Linked DNA regions of Elephas maximus indicus. The protein of the gene in region 3 purifies or fractionates together with the protein of the main gene of each other region. This does not show direct contact. Links are inferred from orthologs where the notes say so. Each region holds a gene or a part of one and is shown on either strand. Other genes may lie near its edges.

Region 1 (7,884 bases), on a different chromosome or scaffold from region 3:
CTCTACAGCTTGTGCCTCTTCCCTCACTAGAGAGTTCAATTGTTCTCGTCTTTTAGCTTGGGTTGAGGGTCTTTAAGATGCTTTAAATTAAGTCAAGGTCAAAAAGGTATCAGTGTTTTCCTTTACTGTTTTCACATGCTGTGTCTTGTTCAAGAATGATCTGGTATCCCCAGGGTCATGATCATACTCCCCTTGGTTTCTTTTAATACCTCTGTGTATGCAGTGAGGGAGGGATCTCTTTGTCTTTATGGACAATCAATTATCACAGTGCTGTGCACTGGATAAACCCTCCTTTACCCACTGATATGAAATGCCACTTCTGCCAGCCACTAAGTTCTGGCCCTTCCTCACTGTCTGTGCCTTTCTCCTCCCTTGGGCCCGTCTGTCTGTCTCTCTTACTGCACATCTCTATCTCAGTCTGTCCCCATCTCTCTGTCTGGAACTCATCCTCCACGATCAGTGTCTGTATTTCTGCTCTTGCATCCTTGTTTCTCACTACTTCTACCCCACTCGGCCTCAGTTTCCCATTCAGCTGTCTCTGCTTCAGCCTCCCTCTCCATCTCTGCCTCAGTCTCCCCTCCCGCATGCCCCTGCCTCCCAACTTGGCCCCCTGCCCCCCCCCCCACCTTGGATGAGCTCCCGCAGCGCAGCGTAGCGCCGGTTGCGCAGACGGGTGCGCAGGGCGCGGGGCCGGGCAGTGCCCTGTCGGGCCACCTCCGCACAGTAGAAGTCTGCACGGTGGTCGCCGCGCAAGTGGCCGAAGCAGGCCAGGTGCTCCTCGCGGAGGCCCGTGCGAAAGCGTTCTAGGAACACCAGCGGCTTCTCGTGGTACAGCCGGCCCAGGATGGCCACCTTCTCCCGCTCAGTCAGGTCAGGCTCGCCCCGCTGCTGGCTGCACACGGGCAGGCGGCTGGCGGCCACGGCACGCAGCATGGCGCTCACCGCTGGGCTCTCGGCCCCGGGGGGGTCGTTGTCCAGAGCCCCCGGTGCTTCCTCTGAGGCGTCCACCTTGTCTTGGGGCCTGGGTGGGACCGGTGTCCAGCTCAGCTCCCCCCAGTGGCTGGGACTAGGCTCCGTGCAGCCTGTTGGCAGGCGGAGATTTGTCAGTCCAGGGGTGGCAGTAGGGAAAGAGGAAGGGACTAGTGCTCAGTCCCTCCCTCTTCACATTTACTGAGCACCTACTATACTAAAAGCACTGTCTTAGGCCCAAGAGAGACCACATTGAACAGGTCAGGTAAAATCTCCTGCCTTCAAGAAGCTGACCTTTAGTGGGGCACACAATTAACAACATAATTATATAATAATTATAATTATTGAAAACAGTGTGTTAGGCAGTTTCAAGAACCATACAGAGAAATCAAAAGTGAAAGGGAAGGGAGTAGGGGGAAGGCTGCGATTTTGAATGGGACAGTCAGAGAAGGCCTTCCCAAAATGTGATATTTGTAGGGCCCTGAAGGTGTCCAGGGACTCTGCCACAGGGTTTCTAGGGGAAGAGTGCTCCAGGCGGAGGGAACAGCAAACACAAAGCGAGGCGGACTGTGGCTGGCATGTCTACTTGGTCCCTTACCACCTCACTCGTTGATTCACTCTAATGTTTGCCTTTTTACTTGTTCACAAACTCATGAATACATTCATTAATCTGTTTACTCACTCACTCATTCCCTCGCTCTCTTCTTACTCATTCACACACTGACCCAACCACTCTACGCCAAGCTCTGAGCTGAGAACCCAAGAGATGAAGCCAATCTACCCCTTGCCCTCAGGGAGAATCCCGTCTGATGAGGGAAACCGGCAAGGTTAAAAAGACAGTACAGACAAAGATAAGAGAAAAGCTCAGTGGTGGGCAAATCTTGGGGAGAGCTGTTTCCTGCAAATGGTAGGAAATGGAGCAAGACTGCAGCAAGCAGGAAATAAGTGAAGGCAGAAAAGTACAGACAACTCCTGTAGGTGGCTTGGCAGGGGAACGGAGGAGTGAAGGGGTGATAGTTACAGGTGTGATGGGAGGGTTTTAATCGCTGAGGCAAGAGAAGACTGAGCTGGACCAGGGCAGGAGTGCTGGAGAGTGGTGGGGGTTAGACAGACACTCAGAAAGCAGAGTGGACAAGCCATGGGGCTGAAGGGCTGGGCAGGGAGAGGCGCATCCAGGATGAGGTCCAGGGCTCCGGCCTGGGCACGGTCAGATTATCCCTGAGACTGGGACATGGAAGAGGAGCAGGTCTGGGGGAAGATGCTGAGCCCAGTTTGGGACACAGAAGGTGTGATGGCCCTAGGGACATCCAAGGGGAGGTGTCTCAAAGACTGTGGGGGTAATGAAAGGTTGGGGAGGGGCTTCGTAGAGGTGAAGGATGACAAGAGGGCTCCTTGAACAGATGGGAAGAATATATCCCCCTGAAGGAGACTGTAATAGGCTAAAATAAAGAGACCCTAAAAGGGATCCATGTTCTAATCCTAAGTATCTGCGAATGTCAGCTTATACAGCCAAAAAAAGAGTCTTTGCAGATGTGATTAAGGATCTCGATATGGGGCTATTATCCCGGATTACGTGGAGGTACTGTGAGAAGGGTTAGCCTGGGGCAGTGGGAGAGTTAGCCCAAGACACGGAAGAGGTTTAAATTAACCTGAGAGCCTGGTGAGTAAACAGATTAGCCCAGGATATGGAAAGGGTTGGCTTTGAACTGGAACTGGGAAGAGGTTAATTTGGGGGGTGGGTGGTTAGGAAGTCAGCCTGCCGAGAGAGGGGTTAACCTGGACAACTGCAGAAAGACTCAGATAAGGCGGAGGGCAGGTGTTCCCCTATAAAGAGTCCTCCTTCACGTTCCTGGGGAATCATCTCCCAGTGACACCGCGGCCGCGCCTCCCTCAGCCTCCGCGCGGCCGGGGCCTCACCCTCATCGGGTTCCCTCGCCGCCGCCGCGGTCGCCACAGCCTCCATCCTGAGTCTCTACAATTTGCCAACCGCCACGACAGGTTCCACAATCCGATCCCAGCCCCACGCCCTCAGCAGCCACTTCCGGTTGAGCACGCTCCCGGGGCCGGGTGCCCCGCTGCGCCCGGGCACCAAGGTTCCGGGCCGAAGGTGGGCCTATCTATGCGCATGCGTACCTCCCTCAGCCCGCCTCAGCCAGGCAGAAAAGGGACGCTGGGTCAGAGAAGCCACTCAGCCTCTCCTATCTGAACTGCCACAAAATTGAAACATCAGGAGGGATCTGGACCACTATTCATCTTGCTCAGTGCGGTGACTCCAGCGCCCAGCAGAGGCCTGCGTGGAATAGCCCAGCATGCCTCATGTTGGGGTGGATGGTTAAATGCGCGCCTTCCAGGGCCTGTGCTCTGGTTTAGACGCCAGTCTCTCCCCTTCATTTCTTCACCACCTCAGGGAATATTTACTAAGCCTCAACTCCTACTTCTGTCATCACACCAGTCACTGGCTGGCATGAGATGGGTGGTGAGATAAGAGGTAGAACTTCCCACTTTATGGTCCTCAGACATGGAGATCTTCAGATATGGAGGAGGGCAACTGTGGTCCTGATTTATTCTATGGGACGGGTAGGAGTCCTCCAGGCCTGGCAAACAGAAGGGTCAGGAAACGCTTATTTCTTGAAGGAGGAGACCTCGGAGCTGAGACTTGAAGGATGAGCAGAAATTAGAGTAAAAGACAGGAGATAAGGGTTTCAGCCAGTGGATGGGCAAGGCAAAGACCTAGACGGATGGCAGGCATGGATAGTCTGGGAGCCGCAAAGACTTCACTTACGGTCAAGGAATAGGAAAGTTCTCACGTGAAGGCCGTGACTGGGAGGCAGGGGATTTGAAAACGTTGTGAGTCTTTATTTTCCAAGGTTTACAGCTTTTTGAGATCCCTAAGGAGAAATTTAACACCCTCCCCCCACAGAAAACAAAAATCCTCACAACTGGACCAATGAGCAACATCATGATAAACAGAGAAAAGACTGAAGTTGTCAAGAATTTCATTTTACTTGGATCCACAGTCAACAGCCATGGAAGCAGCAGTCAAGAAATCAGACGATGCATTGCATTGGGAATATCTGCTGCAAAGGACCTCTTTAAAGTGTTGAAAAGTAAAGATGTCACCTTGAAGACTAAAGTGTGCCTGACCCAAGCCATGGTATTTTCAATCGCATCATATGCATGTGAAAGCTGGACAATGAATAAGGAAGAACTGACGCCTTTGAATTGTGGTGTTGGCGAAGAATATTGAATATACCATGGACTGCCAAAAGAACGAACAAATCTGTCTTGGAAGAAGTACAGCCAGAATGCTCCTTAGAAGCAAGGATGGTGAGACTGGGTCTCACATACTTCGGACCTGTTGTCAGGAGGGATCAGTCCCTGGAGGACATCATGCTTGGCAGAGTACGGGGTCAGTGGAACAGAGAAAGACCCTCAACAAGGTGGATTGACACGGTGTGGCTGCAACAATGAGCTCAAGCATAACGTTGTGAGGATAGCGCAGGACCGGGCAGTGTTTTGTTCTGTTGAGCATAGGGCCGCTATGAGGAGCTGACTCAATGGCACCTGATAACTCCCCCACACTCCAGAAAAGCCACTGATCTAAAGTTCCAAGGGGGAGCAACAAGAGGTGAAGCCAGTGAGGTCACCAGGGCCCACCCAGGCAAGACTCATAAACAGCATTAAGTAGCTTGCGCTCTTTCATCCTGACGGGCAGTGGGCAAGGAGGGGCCGTGGATCGCGGTAAGGGCGACCTGTGAAGAGCCTGCTGCAGTAATTCAGAGACTGGTTGAGAGCAGAGGAGGCACTTCTGGCTTTACTGGCCCATAATCTGGAGATGTGGAGAACTCACCACAGGAGGGCTAGGGATTGTATTTAGGCGTGTTATCAGGAGTAGGCAGCAGAGGGCGCGGTTGACCCACACATGGACTGGCAAGGAAAGGAATTTCCCAGACTAGGGGAACCCTGGTGGCTAGTGGTAAAGAGCTTGGCTGCTAACCAAAAGGTCAGCAGTTCAAATCCACCAGCTGCCCCTTGGAAACCCATGGGGCAATTCTACTGTGTTCTATAGTCACTATGAGTTAGAACTGACTGGACAGCACCTAACAATAGCAGAACCTGAGGCCTGCTGGCAGGCTCTCCCTCAAGCAGCGGAAAGGTACACAAGGATCTCTCATCAGCCTTGACCACCAGTCTTGGCCCTCTCTCATGTTCAGATGCCCCGCCCTGGCCCTCCAGACTAATTGGCTTCCCTCCTCCCGTTTGTAGCCTGTGTCCCTTTCTGTAGGGCTGGACCAGAGAGGATAGGGGCTGACCAGGCCACCCCTGTGCCCCCGCACTGTCCCATCACAGGCTGGTAACACAGCACCTGCTCAGTAAATAAATGTGGTGCTAATGAAAAGGTTGGTGCGCTTTTACCCTAGTTCACTGAATTTTCACTATCAATGCCTACAGAAGCCCTTCTTTCACCACCCCTCTTCAGAATTCCTCACCTCTGACCACTTGGGGCTGCCACTGTTTGGTGCCAGGCTCATCCTGCCTCTGGACTGGGAGCCCCATGAGGGCAGGGTCCCGGACTGCTTTGGTCATGCTGCGTCCCCAGCACTGCCCAGAACAGATGACGCAGAGCAGGTGCCTGGCACATTCTGGCTGAATGATGGATGCTCCCTGGGCTCCTAACTGGCCTGGACCACAGGTGGGCAGCCAGTAACTGCAGAGACCAGGCCTGGGGTGAATGTTCAGTTAACACCTGGTGATGCCCCTGAACAACCCAGCCCTGGTTTCCTCCCAACCACCCCACCTCTCCCTTGGCCTAGGGACCTGCTTTACACCTTCCACTCAAAAATTTCCTGCCGGTTTTGGAGTGTCAATTGACTGTGAGGGGTAAAGGACCCAAGAACCACTTTAAAAACCAACTAGCGGATTTTAAACTGGGGGCGCCAAGAAGCTAGAGGGGGCGTCCCCAGCACTAAAAACAGGGCCAGGCACACGAAGCCCTCAGTAATTACAGGTTGGTTTAATGAATGAGTAAATAAATGCCCCTTGAAAAGGTCCCCATCCTGGTTAAATGCCAAGTGTGGTAACACTTTAGGGTTCCATCCCTGCGTCCTTCCTGCTAGGAGATGCCATGTCATTTATTGAAAGAAAACAAAACGAAACAAAACAGGGCAAACACATTTCTTAATAAGTGCAGTTTGTTAAAATCCCGTTAAAACATATGGGACAAGGGAAAGTAAAAATAATTGAAGCGGATCACTGTAGGAAAAACTCCCAGGTCTGGGACCTAGAGACCTCTGAGGGAGGCGGTGGGAGAGCTTAACGTTCTGAGGGAAGGAGCCCTCCACCTCCCTTTCCCCCTCGCCCGTTTCGTCCCACCAGAAACTACCAGGACGCCCAGAATAAAAGGTTTCAAGTTCAATAGTCACACTCTCTCCAAATACAAAAAAAGCAGTTACAATTCAACTTGACACAGAAGCTTGTGTGCAAAGTTATGGGGAACTGAGACATTGTATAAAAAGTTAGGTTAAAGGTGATTTTGTGGTTTGTTGTGTGTTTTGTTTTGTTTCGAGGGTGTGGCTCTTCCTCGGTCACCTGAACTCAGCAAAGAGATGGTTATCTTGATGAAATACCAACAGCCGACCCACAGTAAAAACTGACAGATTCTAAAAAATAGGGGGCGGGGGGGAAAGCATAATTACAAAAAAAAATAAGGTCACTGCTTCCTCCCTCTGCATTTTGCTTTTTTAAACTCATGGTTTTTTTTTTTTTTAAAGTTTTTGATTTTTTTTTTAATCCTGAAAAGCAGACAGTAAAACAGCTTCTGGAAGAATTTACAACAAACTGCATGAGGGTCTGGGAAGCTGAGGGGCTGGAGGGTGGGCACGACTGGATGGGGGGGGTCCTCCCCTCAGTCACTGGAGCCTCACTGTGTGATCAAGGGAGGAGGGGAGGGTTCTCTAGTGAAAAAGGAAGGAGGAGGAGGAGGGAGGAGGCGGGGGTCGACAGAAAATAAAAGGTCATTGTTGCCTGTTTGAATTCAGAGAGAAAAGCCTGGCCCTGTGTAGGGAAGAAGCCCCTTGGCAGGGAGGCAGTGGGCTGGAGGGAGGCAGCCCTGGGGTGGCCCCATCCCCCAGCACCACGGGACCCGGCAGGGGCAGAGGAGGGGCCGAGGTGGGCGCTGGTGGAGGGGCCTCTGGGCGCCCTGGCTACTGTGTGCTCGTGCCGCCCTGCGTGCTCCCGGAGTAGCTCCCGTAGTCGTAGTTCCCGTAGTACGGCGGCCACTGGCCCTGGTTCTGGTAGTACTGGTTCCACTGCTGGGCATACTGGGGAGACAGAAACCAACAGGACGGGGGTCAGACCCCAACACCAGGCTGTCCTTTCTCCAGACCCACCCTCACCTAGAAGAGATGGGTACAGTGATGGCAGCTAACAGCTGGGTCCCCTGACGGACAGAGGAATCAAGGATAAGGGACTGGCCTGATGCCACGTGGGCAGGCAGTTAGGGACCGCAGCCCAGGTGTCCTGGCTTGCTAACCTATGTCCTTCCAGGCACAGCCAGATGGCATGTTCAAAATATTCACCAACAGGTATGTGGCCCGAGCAGCAGCCAATAGGAATGGCACTGGCTGCAGTGCTGAAGCAGGCTTGTGGGCCCTCTCTGCCAGACCCTACACAGCCATGCAGAGGGGCTGCAACACCGGTTACTCAGTACACAGCTCCGAAGCACTGTACTGCGGAGCACCAGCACCAAGGCCAGCAGGCTGCCATCTTTTTAGGGATAAATAGACTCAAGCCTGGGAACACACATCCAGGCAGGGGCCCCTGAAGGTTTCTCTACCCAGTCAGCGTCCAGTCTGGTACCTACCTGCTGATACTGGTTATAGCTGGGCTGAGGGTAGGTCTGTGCAGCGGGGGGTG
Region 2 (6,958 bases), on a different chromosome or scaffold from region 3:
TTTCTCCTCCACATGGATACATCTTACCGAAATGACTTATAAAAGACAACATGGTGTAATTGTGACACCACAAGGTTTAGTCAGACAGCCTGGGCTTGCCACTTATTAGCTGGGTGGGGGACTGTAAAATGGGAATGATAATAATGACACCCATTTGACATAGTGTGTGGAATAAGGGCAATAACATTAATAAAGTACCCACTGTAAGTTTACCAAAACATGAAGAATATTTACCTTTTGTCTTATCCTACACTAGGTAACCAAACCAAAAAAACATCTCATTGCTGTCGAGTCAATTCTGACCCATAGTGACCCCACAGGACAGAGCAGACCTGCCCCATAGGGTTTCCAAGGCTGTAAATCTTTACAGAAGCAGACTGTCTTATCTTTCTCCCATGGAGTGGCTGGTGGATTCCAACCGCCAACCTTCTGGTTAGCAGCCAAGCACTTAACCACTGTGCCACAAGGGTTCCTACTAGGTAAGCAGGTCCCCTCTATTAGTCCAATGGGACTGTAACATACTTCCTTTTAAAGTGTCCTAAGAACAGATGATGTGGAACATATGCAGAATAGATGTAGAATAGTGGTGGAATTTACCTTTAACAGACGTGGAATAGACGATGTGCATGGATGATGCAGAACAAACACGGAATAGATGTGGAAAATATAAATTAAAAAAGTGTTCTGAGAAAACAAGTTAACTGACTCACGGGTTCCCCCACAACCCAGGGGGCCTGCTGCCAGTACTAATCTAAAGAAAAACGGTAAAATTTGTCTTTGGTGCTGATCTATAAGCCCTCTCTCCTGCCATTTGGCTCAGGGAGTTGAACATTAGTAACTAGCCACTGCGACTACACAATGCCAGGGAACAAAAATATCATGAGGCAGAACCACAATCAATGCTGCAACATTAAACCAAAGGCATTCTTTAGCTGCTTAAAGCTGAAACCAGCTCAAGTTGTCCCAAACTCAACTTTGTCACCATATCCACCCAAACAGCCCTTAAGGATAGCAGAAGCAAGAGATATGCTGAGTGGCTTTTATACAATATGGCCTGTGTTAGGACTTACAAATGCAGGATGTTGTTTCTGGGTAACAACCACCACAGGGAGACATCAAAGGAATAGAGACAGGGCTCTCCAAATTGCAGGTGTTGACAAAGAGTTGCTTCTCTGCACTTCTCTTGCCTTTTATTGAGCTACACCCAGTTTGGCTCACAGAGCTTGAAAAAATGATAACTTAGGTGATTAGCTGAACATAGTCATCTCTGCAGACCATAAAAATTTGCTGTGGATGGCAAAGCGTTACTAAATAAAAGGAAGGGTCAGGTAGAAAGCTTTGTGAACACTCACATCCTTCTCCTGGATGGTGCATTCCTTACAGTAATAGGCATCGGAGACTCCGGGGCCTCCACAGATCACACAGCGCCCTTGGTAAGAGCCATAATTACACTCATCACATATGCGCACCAGGGTACAGGGACGCACATAGGAGTCACAGATCACACACTTGCCATCGCCTGTGAAGAAAAGTGAATGGAGTTATGCTCACCTGCAAGTACTTCCTCTCCCAAGTGCTTTGCCCTCCTTCAGCTATGGGTGGTGTACTAGTTTCTTTTGGACAGTGAGTTTAGGGCCCTTCCTCTACTTTGCCATTACCCAGTATCCATCTCAATCCCCTTAACACTTACAAAACATTAACATACATAAAGAGCATAGCACAGCCCCTTGTAGATAAACCAAAAAGACCAAACCCACTACTGCCAAGTTGATTACCACTCGTGGTGACCTTATAGGACAGAACAGTCACAATCCCTTCCTGAAGCCCCTCTCAGGTCTGGGGCAACCTGAGATAGTGCTTCTCAGAATCCTGACTCATAGTGTTTCCAAGGAGCAGCTGGTGGATTCGAACTACCAACTTTTGGTAGATGATAGCTCTACATAACTGCAGCAAAAAGACCTGTGTATGTTAGGTTGGGGGTCATGCTACTCTGGCGATTCTTCGTATCTCAAGCTAGAGATTTCTGCAAAACCTAAATGCACTGTTTAAAATGTGCCAGTCAGAGTGGGGAGGTGGAAAGGGTCTATGGTTGCTGCCTGGGATCCCGTGTCCACATGCTTCCAGTCCCATCTACTCAAAGTCCTCTTTGTGGCACCGCTGGAAATACCCTTTCCCTGACTCCACTGAGTGGGAGGGGTGGGGGGGCTGGGAAGACGCGTTCCACTCACATTTTTCACACAGTCTTCCGATGGCTGCAAGAGCAAAGAAGATATAGAGCACCATTAGAATTAGGGTTCTGACGAAGAGGGCTGGAGTGGGGACAATGACAGGGACTACAGTGAACTCTAACGGACAGTCATCTTATCCTCGTAGACCTCCATCCGAACCAAACCTACAGTCACGATCCCTTCTTGGGATCAGGGGCAACCTGCGACAGCCGTTCTCGGAACCCTGTCCCAGGGACCCCACCCTTGCTGCCCACCTCTGGCTCACAGCCCGCGCGCCCCGCTCTTTCCCTCCCGCGCGCTCCTACACTACCCCGCGACCGTGAGGTGGGAAACGTGGCGGCTCCGAGACAAAGCCCTAGAGAAGTGATGAGAACTCCCAACCTCCCAGCGCCTAACACCACCACCACCCAGACAGCCGGGGGCAGGCCGCCGCCTCACCAACTCCAGCCTGCTTGCGGCAAAAAATCAAGTCCGGGTGGTGTTTAGCCATAGCTCCCACTCAAACTTGCCACCGGAAGCTTCCGGAACTTCCGCCCGACCTTTGACCCGCATTGTTCCTGCCTCCTGGTCGTTATGACTGGTCCTGGAGACTTCCATCAGGCACTAAGCCGCGCTCCCCCTCGCGAGATCAAAGCCACTACGTTCCAAGAAGAGCTTCTGTGGTTGCTGCGGAAGTAAGTCCTGGCAGGAGCGCGAAAGTCCTAAAATGAATACCTTTCCCAGATTTTGATGGAAGATATAGCCGAAATTTGTTTTTCGATAAAACATCTTTGTACAGGCATTTAATTACCGTAACTGTTTTTACGAGCGTTTTCTCTTCTCACGTGCCCGTTCCTAACACTGCGGCTCTGCCGTCTACGTTCGCTGGGCTCGGGCGCCTTTAGGGAGGCCCCGCCCCACCGCGCTGTGTTCTCGTCAGGCCACGCCCCCTGCCTAAGTCTTTAAAGTTGTCGTCTGGCACGTCACTTTCACGCGACCTCATCTTTGTCAGTGCACAAAATGGCGCCTTACAGCCTACTAGTGACCCGGCTGCAGGTGAGCGAGCTCAGGGCCCTCAGGGTTCACGGGGGCGGGGTGCCTCCTGCTGTGCTTGCGGCCGTGGGCGAGGCGGGCCCGACCTCGGGCAGACTTTTCGTGTAGTGTCCCGGCCGTGGGCCCAGTGTCTGTGCCCGCCTCTCTGACGCCCGAGGTCAAGGCGTCCCAGGCTCTGTTAGCTGCCGCAGCCCTTTCCCCGCCCCCGGTAAAGTATAAGCACAAGCAGCGGCGGCCGAATGGAGAGTGCAGGCTCCTCTTTCTCCTTCCTGAGGACCGCACTGCCAGTTCTCGTAGGGTTTCTTTCCGTTCCTCAAGGTGAGGACAAGGTGACTGGGGGGGGGGGTGCGGTCGTTGTAGAGCCCGTTAGGCCCAGTGCCTGAAGGGCTCACTTCCTATCTCAGTCTCAGAGACTTCCTAGCCAGTTCGCCCAGTACACTATTCCGTCCTTTGAGGACCCTGCGGAACTCACAGCCAAGAGTGCGCGGGGGATCTTTCTTGCCCGACGTAGTAAATAATAGTGACAATAGCAGTATCTCACGTTTGCCCGTGATTTCAAGACTTAATTCCTCATCATATCATTTGAGTCATGTCTAGCGAGATGATTATTCTCATTTTGATAGGTGGCGAAAGTGCTAGGAAGTAGGCAAAAGTTTCAAGAGTGTCACTGTCACTGTAGTGCTGTGTCCTGACATCTGCCCTCCTACCCCTCTGGTCTAATTCCACGTCAGCCAGCCCTCACAGACTGAGAAAAGGCGTGATGCTGGACTTAACATTTGTATTTTGAAGAATAATAGAATGGAGTATTTTGTGCTCACAATTAGTTCCTTTTACAGTAACATATGGGAGGGTAATGAGGCTCAACAGTTTGACCTTGACTCTCCCTTTGTGAACCGTCTAGAAAGTTGACTGTAACTGTGACTGCCAAATGTTTTTTTACCCCTACCTAACTTGACAATCCTTAAAAAAAAAAAAAAAGCCCAGTTACCTCAAGTCGATTCTGACTCATAGCGACCCTGTAGGACAGAGTAGAACTGTCCCATAGGGTTTCCAAGGAGCTGTTGGTGGATTCCAGCTACGGACCTTTTGGTTAGTAGCCAAATGCTTAACCGCTGTGCCACTAGGGCCCCTGACAATCTTTAGGAAGGTGTTATACTCAAAGGTTCAATGTCAGGGGAGTATTTTGTTAATAAAAATAAAGGAAGAAAGCACTCGTAGACATTCTCTGCAACCTTTTATGTTTAACTTTGTGAATACTTTTGAATCAAGTGGCGCAACTTTGATTATAGAATTGGAAAGTTGTGTGCTGTACTTTCAGGAAGCGTTGCGGTACTAGAAGTTATTTTTCATCACATTGGTTAAGTTTAGACTGTGGTTTAAGTATTATAAAATACTTCTCACAGTTTGGGCAAAAGCAAGGGATATGCACTTCATTATCTCTTAAGGTCTTTTGATTCTCTAGGTTGATGATGTGAAAATAGTTGTACAACTCCTGTTTTACCATGATGTATTGCAGTCAGGCAAGATTACTTGATAAGATAAATGATTACAAATTTATTGAGCATGGAAAAGAGTTTTTAAAAATGGCATGAGGATGGCGTCTGACCTCCAGCCCCACAAGGGGGAAGGAGAACCAAGATCAACAGTGCAAGGCTAGAGGTGGAGGCCAGACAAGCCTGCTCTATCATCTTTAACAATTCGGACACCAGTCATCCTTCGCACAGCGCTCTCTACTTCTTTCCTGGGTTCTATAATTCATTGCAGTGGCCACACAGAACTCACAGACCATACTCAGGACTAAGGAGTTTATCAGGAGTTGGAATCAACTCCCTGGCAGCTGGTTAGGGAAGTAACAGTTACAATTCAGGCTCCAGAACACTCAGGATACAGTTTTTCCCATAGGACAGCTTCTCCCCAGCTGTGGTTGCAGGCTCACCTCTTCTTGACCCTCGGCCTCTCCCCAAAGGCACTCAGCTTTCTCTCTCAGTGGCCCACATGCTGTCTCCTGCTGCCACATCTCTGCTGCCACTGCTTCTCACCATCTTCAGGGTTACAGCTCGCTCTCCTGCTTCCAGGAGCTTCTCAGTGCAGGGATCCCGGCCAAAGGACCTGCTCTCCACTCCTGGCTGTCCTTCCTTGAAGGTGTTAAGATCCTCCTCCCTGCTCTGGAGTTGGGTCTCTTTTAAGGCAAAACTGACCAGTCCTCTTGGTGGGCCACAATTACCCTATCACACAGTCCTACCCAGTCACCTGGGTAGGAGTTATAAGACCATGGCTAGAAAGGCAACACCCAAAAGTAATTAATTGCACTGCAGAGGTATATTAACAATGTTTTAGAACTGAAAGCAATCTTGGAAAACATGAATGTTAACCTTGTGTAGAAAGTTCATGTTCTACCCTGGCCCTGTGACCTTGAACAAGTTACTTCCTGAATCCCAGTTTTATCATCTGTCATTTGAGGATGACCTTCACTGAAGAAACATTTACTGAGTACCTGATAATCTTCTTTTCAGATTGTCTATAAAGTGATGAGCAAGTAGAATGTATTTGTTTACGATCGTCATAGAATCCAAGACCTTGAGAAACCTGAGTGACTTCCAGTAATAGTCCAGTTACTCTATGGCAGAACCAGGATTAAAATCCAGGTCGCCTTGTCCATTCAGCTAAAATGAATGAGCAGAATTTGCATCTGTGTTATTCCACTTTGCATTGTACCACCCTGCCTCCTGTAGCCAGGCTGTCTTAAGTAATAGCTAGCTAACATCATTCTCTGAGAACCTTGTGAATTTACCTCTTTTGTGTTGAGCTACACTTGAGAGGTGATGCTTTCTACCTAAGTTACCATGTCTTGGCAGAACCCTGTCCATGCATTCAATTCATTCCTTCTTCATTCACCACACATTTATTGAGCTCCCACTGCTTGCTGCAGATTCAGTGGTGAGCCAAGCAGACAATGCCTGTTCTCATGGAGCTTCCACTATATTCTAATATACCCTACAGCAGAGGGTCTCGGAGATGTTTCTCAGCCAAAATATTATTTTTCTGCCCTTGGCTAGACCAAAGGTGAATGTAGATAATAGAATGATGACTAACTACTACCACTCAGAGTAGCTAACATTTAGCTTACTGTTTGCCATTAATCTCACATGACCTTGCGAGATAAGGCAGACCTGTTAGCTTTGTTTTACAGATGAAGAAATTGCGGATTAGAGAGGAAGCATAGTGTAATGATAGTGAAGAGCATGGACTGGCATCAGGCTGCCTGGATTAGAACCCTGGCTGTAATGTTCACTAGCTATGACCTTGGCATATTCCTTTACCTCTTTGTGACTGTTTCCTTGCCTGTAAGATATGGATAATAATAGTACATCTATCTTATTTAATTCTCAATGATCATATTATGGCATCCCTGGGTGGTGTAGACGGTAAATGTACTTGGTTGCTAACTGAAAGGTTGGAGGTTGAAATTTACTGAGAGGCTCCTTGGAAGAAGGGCCTGACAATCTACTCCTGAAAAATCGGCCCTTGAAGGCCCTATGGAGCACACTCTGACAGATACAGGGTCACCATGAGTCAAAATTGACTCAACAGCAACTGTTTTTTTTTAATCATATTGTTGTTACAGATTAATTAGAATCCTGCATGGTTCCTAGCAAGTGGTATATGCTTGTTATCTTGCCTAGGGCCTTATCACTAGT
Region 3 (6,952 bases):
GATAATTCTGAGATTACAGCTTGTGCAACTGTTTTCTTTAAGTCACATTTTAAAAATATCAGTAAGACTCACACTCTGATTTGACGAATAGGTCCATATTTTCCAAATATATCATACATTTCTTCAGCTGTGATTTTGTATGGCAAATTTCTTATATACAAAATCCGATTTACTTCAGGCGGAAGTCGAATCTAAAATGAGAAATATATGTTGTCGTTATAATCAGGCAGGAGTGCTACCATTTAGAAAAAATTCTAATACATAATAGTGAAAAGCCAAGAGTAAGAATTATTATCTGATGTAAATGACATGCTCTTCAGAAAAGCAACTGGATGATGGTTCCAGAGAAGACCATTAGTAGGAACTAATACGGGCCTGCGATAAAACAAGACTTTTGATCACTATAGTTAAATACGGACTTTCAACCACATCTAAAAGTCCTTAACACCTCCGACTACATGTGGGAAAGAAAGAAAGGAGCTGTTCCTGTTTGCTAGACAATAAAATCCCCACTGATGTGTGTTCTATGGTCTTCTCAGGGGCTTGTATCACTGATGTCTTCTCTTATGAATTTACAACCTTTCCCTCACCACTAGCTTCTTCTTGTCCTCCCAATAAGCAGTTGCTCACATCCTGCCCATCTTTTCACAAAACAAACAATTTATCTAGATCCCTCTTCCTTCAACCAACAATATTTACTAAGCACCTTCTTATACACCAGGTTAGGTATTGGGAATACATAGTGAAAATATATACAAGGGGCTCCCTGCGGGCTTTTAACCGCATTGCTCAATCCTCATCATACTTAGCCTGAGACTTCTAACACCGTTGATTAGTTCCTTCTTGCAACAATCCATTTTCTTGGTTTTCTCCTAACACTCTAGCTAGGTCTTCTCAGCCTTCTTTACCATTAAAATATGCTCTTGCACAGGGCTGTATCTTTAGAGTTCTTTTCTTGATCCTTTGTATACGCCCCTTAACTCTTTACATTCTCTCTGACTGGCCTCTTAACCACACCCGTGGTTTCCACAGTAAGTTGATGACCCTGGAATACGTAACTCCAGTCTAGATCTCACTCTTATGCTCCTGATTAACATAAATTAGATACTGAACATTAATTTACTCAATAGCTATTCAGTTATTTTTATATTAAAAGACAGTTATAAATAGTAATGACAACTGGTGAACAAGTACAATAAAGTTTTAGAGACCATAATTCAAGGTTAAGTTCAAATAGACAATCAATGCTGCCAGACAACCGAAATATATTTCTCTGGTAAATTTGCTTTCTTAGTTTGTAAGACACTATATCAAAAATATCTTCTGTCTTCAACCTTATTATCACCACTCCAACACCTTTGTTGGGCTGTATCCTTTTCCCTGCCCGTCCAAGGAGATGACCCTGGCTCTTACTTCTTGGACAAAATGGATATGACCAAGTGGTAAGTACCTTATAGTCCTATCACTAAACCTACCAATCTACATTCATCCATATCCACCTATGTTCCCTCTCTCTATACTTGGAAGAAAGGCCTGGCCACCTACTTCCAAAGGATCAAAGCCAGTGAAAACGCTACAGGGGGCAGTTCTACTCTGAAATGCATAGGGTCACCCTGAATCAAAATCAACACGAAGGCAATTAGTTTGGTTTTTTGGGTTGTTACTATGCCAACCCTTCATCTACTCAAAAGCAGATGAGTACATCTACACGACTCCTGAAATCAACACATCTTTTTGTACATTATCGGCTTCTTCCACTTTACCAGATCATTCCCATTGGAATGATCACACAATACACTTTATATTGCTCAACTTTTTTTTTTTAATCACTAAACTCAATTTCCTACTCCTTGTTTACATGAAAACTCATGAAAAGAGATTTCCTCAACTTCCATCATCTTTTCATCCCACTACAACCAAGTTTTCATCCACCATTACACTGAAACAACTCATCAGTGTCACCAAAATTTTCCATCTCACCATAGCCATATCCAGAGCCCTGGTGGAGCAGTAGTTAAAGAACTTGGCTGCTATCCAAAAGGTCAGCATTTCAAATCCACCAGGCACCCTTTGGAATCCTATTGGGTTGCTATGAATTGGGATTGACTCGATGGCAACGGGCTTGGTTTTCGGTTAATAGCCCTATCCAGGGTTCAATTACCTGTCATCATATTATGCGTCTCAGCACCACTATCTCCTTCTTGAGACATTTTTCTTTAAGTTTCCATAACATCTCACTCTCTAATGCTAGAATGTAAGCACCTATAGGACAAGGATTTTTTGTTTTATTCACTGCTGAATAAAAGTGATTACCTAGATTAGTAGCTGGCACGTAGGAGGTGCAATAAATGTAACTAAGGAATTGTTCCCTCCCTGGCACACAGCAAGTGCTCAATAAATACTGTTGAATCAATAAGTTAATGAAGGACCCAAAAAACCCTATGATCTGAAGAGAATCTTAAGTTTTAGTCGCCTGTGGACCATTATTTATTGGGGACTCGTCTATGCTATCAATTTTTAGGCTGAGGAGGAGATTCTGATGCCAGGCCCTAAATACAGGTCAAGCAACAAATTCTGTAGGGCTAGCACTGTCACTAACACTAAGATACTTTAGGAACTTTCAAAAGGGGTGTGGGCGGAATTGTGGCTCAATGAGCATACCCCTGAGGACCGGGACAGCGTGGAATCCCCACGGATAGGACAGGAAAATTTGGGTTTCCCCGCCCAGGGGACACAGGAGTAAGCATGCTCTGTGCACGCCTCTAAGAAAGTCAAACAGCGAAGTCCGCCCCTCCTCCGCAGAAGGCCCCGCTACTCACGTTCGCCCTCTTGGCCGCTTGCATCGCCATCTTGGCAGGCTGATGAAGTCACCGTAGTTAAGACTGGAATCCTCCGGACACCTCTGGAGCTCGCTCTACTTCGAGCGCAACAGTGTCAAACGCAGGCCATCAACAACCAGCCTCCACCGGAAGCTGCTGAAACAACGCTAGAAAATCGCCGTTTCACGTCGAGACGTGCTGACGTACTACCGGTCCTCTTCCGAGAAGACTCCGGGAGCAAAGCGAGCCTGAGATAAATGTGAGGCCGGAAGGTGAAAGAAGACAGTCGAAGATGCTTCCGGGTCCTGGGCCGGAAAGGGCGGGGCCTCAGCTCAAGAAGGGAAGGTGTTCCGGTCGGGGGGGGGACCTAAGCAGTGCGAGCTGACCGGAGGTGGCGGGGCACGGGGATGGCGGTGAGGGGTGATGCGGAGACTGGTTGGGTCGAGGAAAGGGGACCGAGTTTGGCGAGAAGCTCCGGGCTGCGGGACGTGGGTAGCCAGGTGCAGGAGAACTCGTGGATGAGCCTGGGCTTCTGGCAGTGCGCGAGACGGAGTTCACAGGTTCTGGCGGGTAGTGTCGAGGCTGACTGTGTAACCTAGTTCCGGACCTCCAGCCCTCCGTAGTGCCTTCCCCAAGTTGAGCCTCGGCGGGACTGGCCTCTCAGAGCTTTAGTGAGGGTAACGAGCGCCCAGGGGCAGTCTCTGAATTGCCCCTGCCCCCCGCCCCTGCCCCGCCAATTCCAGCCCCCAGGGGCAATCTCTGAATTGCGCCCCCCCCCCCCCAATTTCAAGATGAACAGATAGCGACGATGCGTCAGCGGAAACGCTTTTCCCGGTCCTTTGTCCGGCTGTCTCAGGCTCCTTCATGTTTGTAGCGCCCAGGGGTGCCTTGTCTGATGCCCTCTTGGACTTGCGTCTGGGGGCAAGTGCCCTCTCTGCGTCTCCCCCCCCCCCCACCACACCTCTGTGGCCTCTTCCTGTAATCCCCCTGTCAGTCATCCCAGCTCCCACCTCACCCGGCCAGTCAGCGCTAGTTTGCGAGCTGGGGTCGCCAGTGAGCACACCACACTTCAACTCCACCCTCTTTGTTTCTTAACGCCAGCTTAACATGGGTCAGTTGAAAAGGTCGAGAAGGGGCAGTGTTTTAGGGTGGGTCTGGGAATAGCACCCGAACTCTTGCCTGTGAATTTTCTCCAAGTTTACTCTGAGAAGGCCTAGGGTGGAGTGTCCTGTACCCTGTGCCTTCACTGGGGCAGCTTCATGACGATTTTGCCCATGTTCTTGTCAGTCTCCGTGTACACATGGGCCTCTTGGATTTCCATCAACAGGTAGACTCTATCCAGAAGTGGCAATAGACGTTGGGGGTCCTTCGTGGAGAAGTGAGGCAGAGCTCGTTCCGTGGAAGCCTTCACCAGCATTTGCTTATACTAAGATATGGAAAAGGAATCCGTCAGCCTGGACTGAGACCTTACCCTGCCGCTTCCCATACTTTTTGATCTCTCTGAAACGGGTACACACCTGAAAAAGCACACAGGGGTACCCTCTTCACTTCCTAGCGTGTGTGCGCCGGCCCCCAAATGCGTAACCTCTGTTCTGTACCAGATAAGGACTGAAGCTCCGAGTGAAATACTACTGTCAATAATGGCCATTGACCCGAAACCCCGGTGGCATAGCCGTTAAGTGCTACGGCTGCTAACCATAAGGGTCAGCAGTCCTTGGAAACTCTATAGGGCAGTTATACTCTTTCCTATAGGATCATTATGAGTCGGAATCGACTTGATGGCACCGGGTTTGGTTTTGGTTTTGGGGTCAATAATGGCCAGAGGGCTGTTTCTAAATAAAAGCTTCAAGCGAGAGGCAGCCACAGATAGGACTTATATAGGCTCTGTGCAAAAGGGATGTTTGAGCTCCTTTCCTCCAACGGTTGTGGAACCCATATTGGGAAACTTTCCCGAAGTTGGTGCCTGCTAGAATGCCACACAGACTTCTGTAACATGTATTACTTTCTTAGTACACTGAGGAGAGTGCCTTTGGAAACAAAATCTTGGAACTATTAGAAGTACTTCCTAATATGCTAAATACTTTGTTCATTTTGTTAGAAAGTTTATGTATGAAGCATTAGCCACCCTTTTTCCCAGATGTTGAGGTTTCTGTTGACCAACCCTAATTGGTTCTCTGAAATCAGGGTACATATATACCCAGGGGGGCAGGTTTCTACATAAACTCCCTAACCTAAGATGTGACAAAGCTTCCTTTCTCACACTTTTATGTAAATGAAACCATGTGTTTTCTTTCACACATCACGTACCTATTTGTCTATATTTTAGCAGACTGGTGATTAGGCTTCCTCCTTTAAAAAGTAGCTTGGATAACAGAGGCCCATTGATGTTAGCTACTCGCATCAGACCATGGAGAACCATCAACAGCCAGGCAGTTGACATTCTTCTCCCAGTGAGATCCGCCTACACAGTCTAGAATAAGGTTGGCTCCAGCACGTTTCACATGAAACAGATTTGTAATGCCAGTCAGACCCAGAAAACTTGGTGTAAAATAAGACTCCATGGTATATTTATGGGTTCTTAGGTGCCATGGAGTTGGTTCCAACTCACAGCCACCCTAAATTTGTGGATCCAACCCACCACTGCCTTTGAGTTGATTCCGATTCATAGCGACCATATAGGACGGAGTAGAACTGCCCCATAGAGTTTCCAAGGAGCGCCTGGTGGATTTGAAAGTTTGTGGATATATGGGTATAAATTAAGTACAGGTGCAAGTGGTAAATTTATAGGTTGGAACTAGCAACATTGCTCATGGAAACATTGTTATAAATGTAGTTTAAGTAGCTGAACTCTATTATGGCATGTGTGAATAGTTCATCTTTTATGATCCCCTAGTCATAAGAGAGCAGCAAGAAGGAAACGAGCTGAAACCATGACTTGGTGTCTCCTGTTACCACCACTTAAGTACAGTGTGCACTGGCACCCAGGTATAAGTGAGAACAGAACAGGGGAGGTCTACCCAGGCTACAGGGCAGGTTAGTTGTTCATATCTAAGTTACAAAGTATCTGCACTGGATTTTCTACTCATATGAAAAACTGAAAGGGATGAGCCAAAAACATACATGTTTGGCTTTGTAATGCAGACGCATGCACAACCCTATTACCCCAACCCTACTAGCTCCAGATCCAAACAGTGCCTCAAGCCTGGTATTAACTCACTATGGAGTGGCTGGTTGGGAAGAAGAGGTTTTGGAAAATTCCAAGTCAACTCTTGATAATTATCCAGCTTCTAAAACGTGTATGAATTATATCATTTGCAGGAATGCATATGGAAATGATCTCAGTCCTAAATACCAACTGCCTGTCCCCAGTGGTCAAACCCCAGAGTACTAGAGTTTGACCAGGCCAGCTGTTGTGCATTTAGCAGAGTCCTGGCAACCTTGAAGCTGGTGAGGATTTATTTAATCATCTCTGACATTCCTGCTGAGCTGCAGAAGCAGTTGTTTACCTTTGGTGAATTTCAGTGTTGCTTCACAAAAGTCCTCTTCTTTGTAATCGAATCCAGCAGCTGCTCCAAGCTTTTCTGCCATTCGAAGCTTGTGCTGTGAGCCAGCCATGACCAGAAGAATAGCTCCAGCCATCTGGGTGAGTTGGATGGCAGCTGTGCCCACACCACTTGACCCCACATGGATTAGCACAAACTGTCTGGCCTGAACATTTCCTATGACAGTAAGTACAGGAATAATTCTCTTTATTTTGCAACTGCTACACATTCACACATTCCCCACACAGGCACACTCTACCATGATGACCTGGCCCCAGGACCACCAAATGCCGAATCTCTTAAACCCTCTTAACTTCCTTTTTGTCTATATAGGCAGTTCTTTTTTGTTGTATTGCCTCTATTCAAAGTGGAAAACAACCTTTTAAAACAGTTATTAGATGCTATATCCATAATCTCTGTTTTACCTATGAAATAACGCCAAAATGCACATCTCTGCTGTATACGTCAACAAGAGTGAATAACCACCATTCATTCTTCCTGTGACCTCCTCTAGCTGCTTTCACGCACCCATTTATCTCCTTACCACCACAAGGAGCACAGCCAGCCACCAGGCTCCTCCTAATATGGGGC

The links.
Region 1: the proteins of SF3B6 (region 3) and CCDC97 purify together in Homo sapiens (affinity purification with mass spectrometry; 3 studies listed by BioGRID and IntAct, counting the BioPlex papers as one, with this or other methods). This does not show direct contact. The link is inferred for Elephas maximus indicus from reciprocal best matches to the Homo sapiens genes SF3B6 and CCDC97.
Region 2: the proteins of SF3B6 (region 3) and PHF5A purify together in Homo sapiens (affinity purification with mass spectrometry; 4 studies listed by BioGRID and IntAct, with this or other methods). This does not show direct contact. The link is inferred for Elephas maximus indicus from reciprocal best matches to the Homo sapiens genes SF3B6 and PHF5A.

The regions. Positions count from the first base shown.
Region 1 is NC_064829.1:109,873,534-109,881,417, forward strand, and holds the start of CCDC97 (coiled-coil domain-containing protein 97), read right to left. Parts: upstream 3,038-7,884; 5' UTR 2,933-3,037; coding exon 2,887-2,932; intron 1,083-2,886; coding exon 627-1,082; intron 1-626. Other genes in the region: HNRNPUL1 (heterogeneous nuclear ribonucleoprotein U-like protein 1), read right to left, coding at 7,173-7,289, 7,832-7,884. UniProt on the Homo sapiens protein: May play a role pre-mRNA splicing through the association with the splicing factor SF3B complex which is involved in branch-site recognition.
Region 2 is NC_064822.1:185,615,839-185,622,796, forward strand, and holds the start of PHF5A (PHD finger-like domain-containing protein 5A), read right to left. Parts: upstream 3,102-6,958; 5' UTR 3,019-3,101; exon of another isoform or gene 2,910-3,018; 5' UTR 2,826-2,909; coding exon 2,768-2,825; intron 2,762-2,767; exon of another isoform or gene 2,719-2,761; coding exon of another isoform or gene 2,667-2,718; intron 2,310-2,666; coding exon 2,229-2,309; intron 1,520-2,228; coding exon 1,353-1,519; intron 1-1,352.
Region 3 is NC_064830.1:41,616,405-41,623,356, forward strand, and holds the start of SF3B6 (splicing factor 3B subunit 6), read right to left. Parts: upstream 3,058-6,952; 5' UTR 2,850-3,057; coding exon 2,820-2,849; intron 192-2,819; coding exon 73-191; intron 1-72.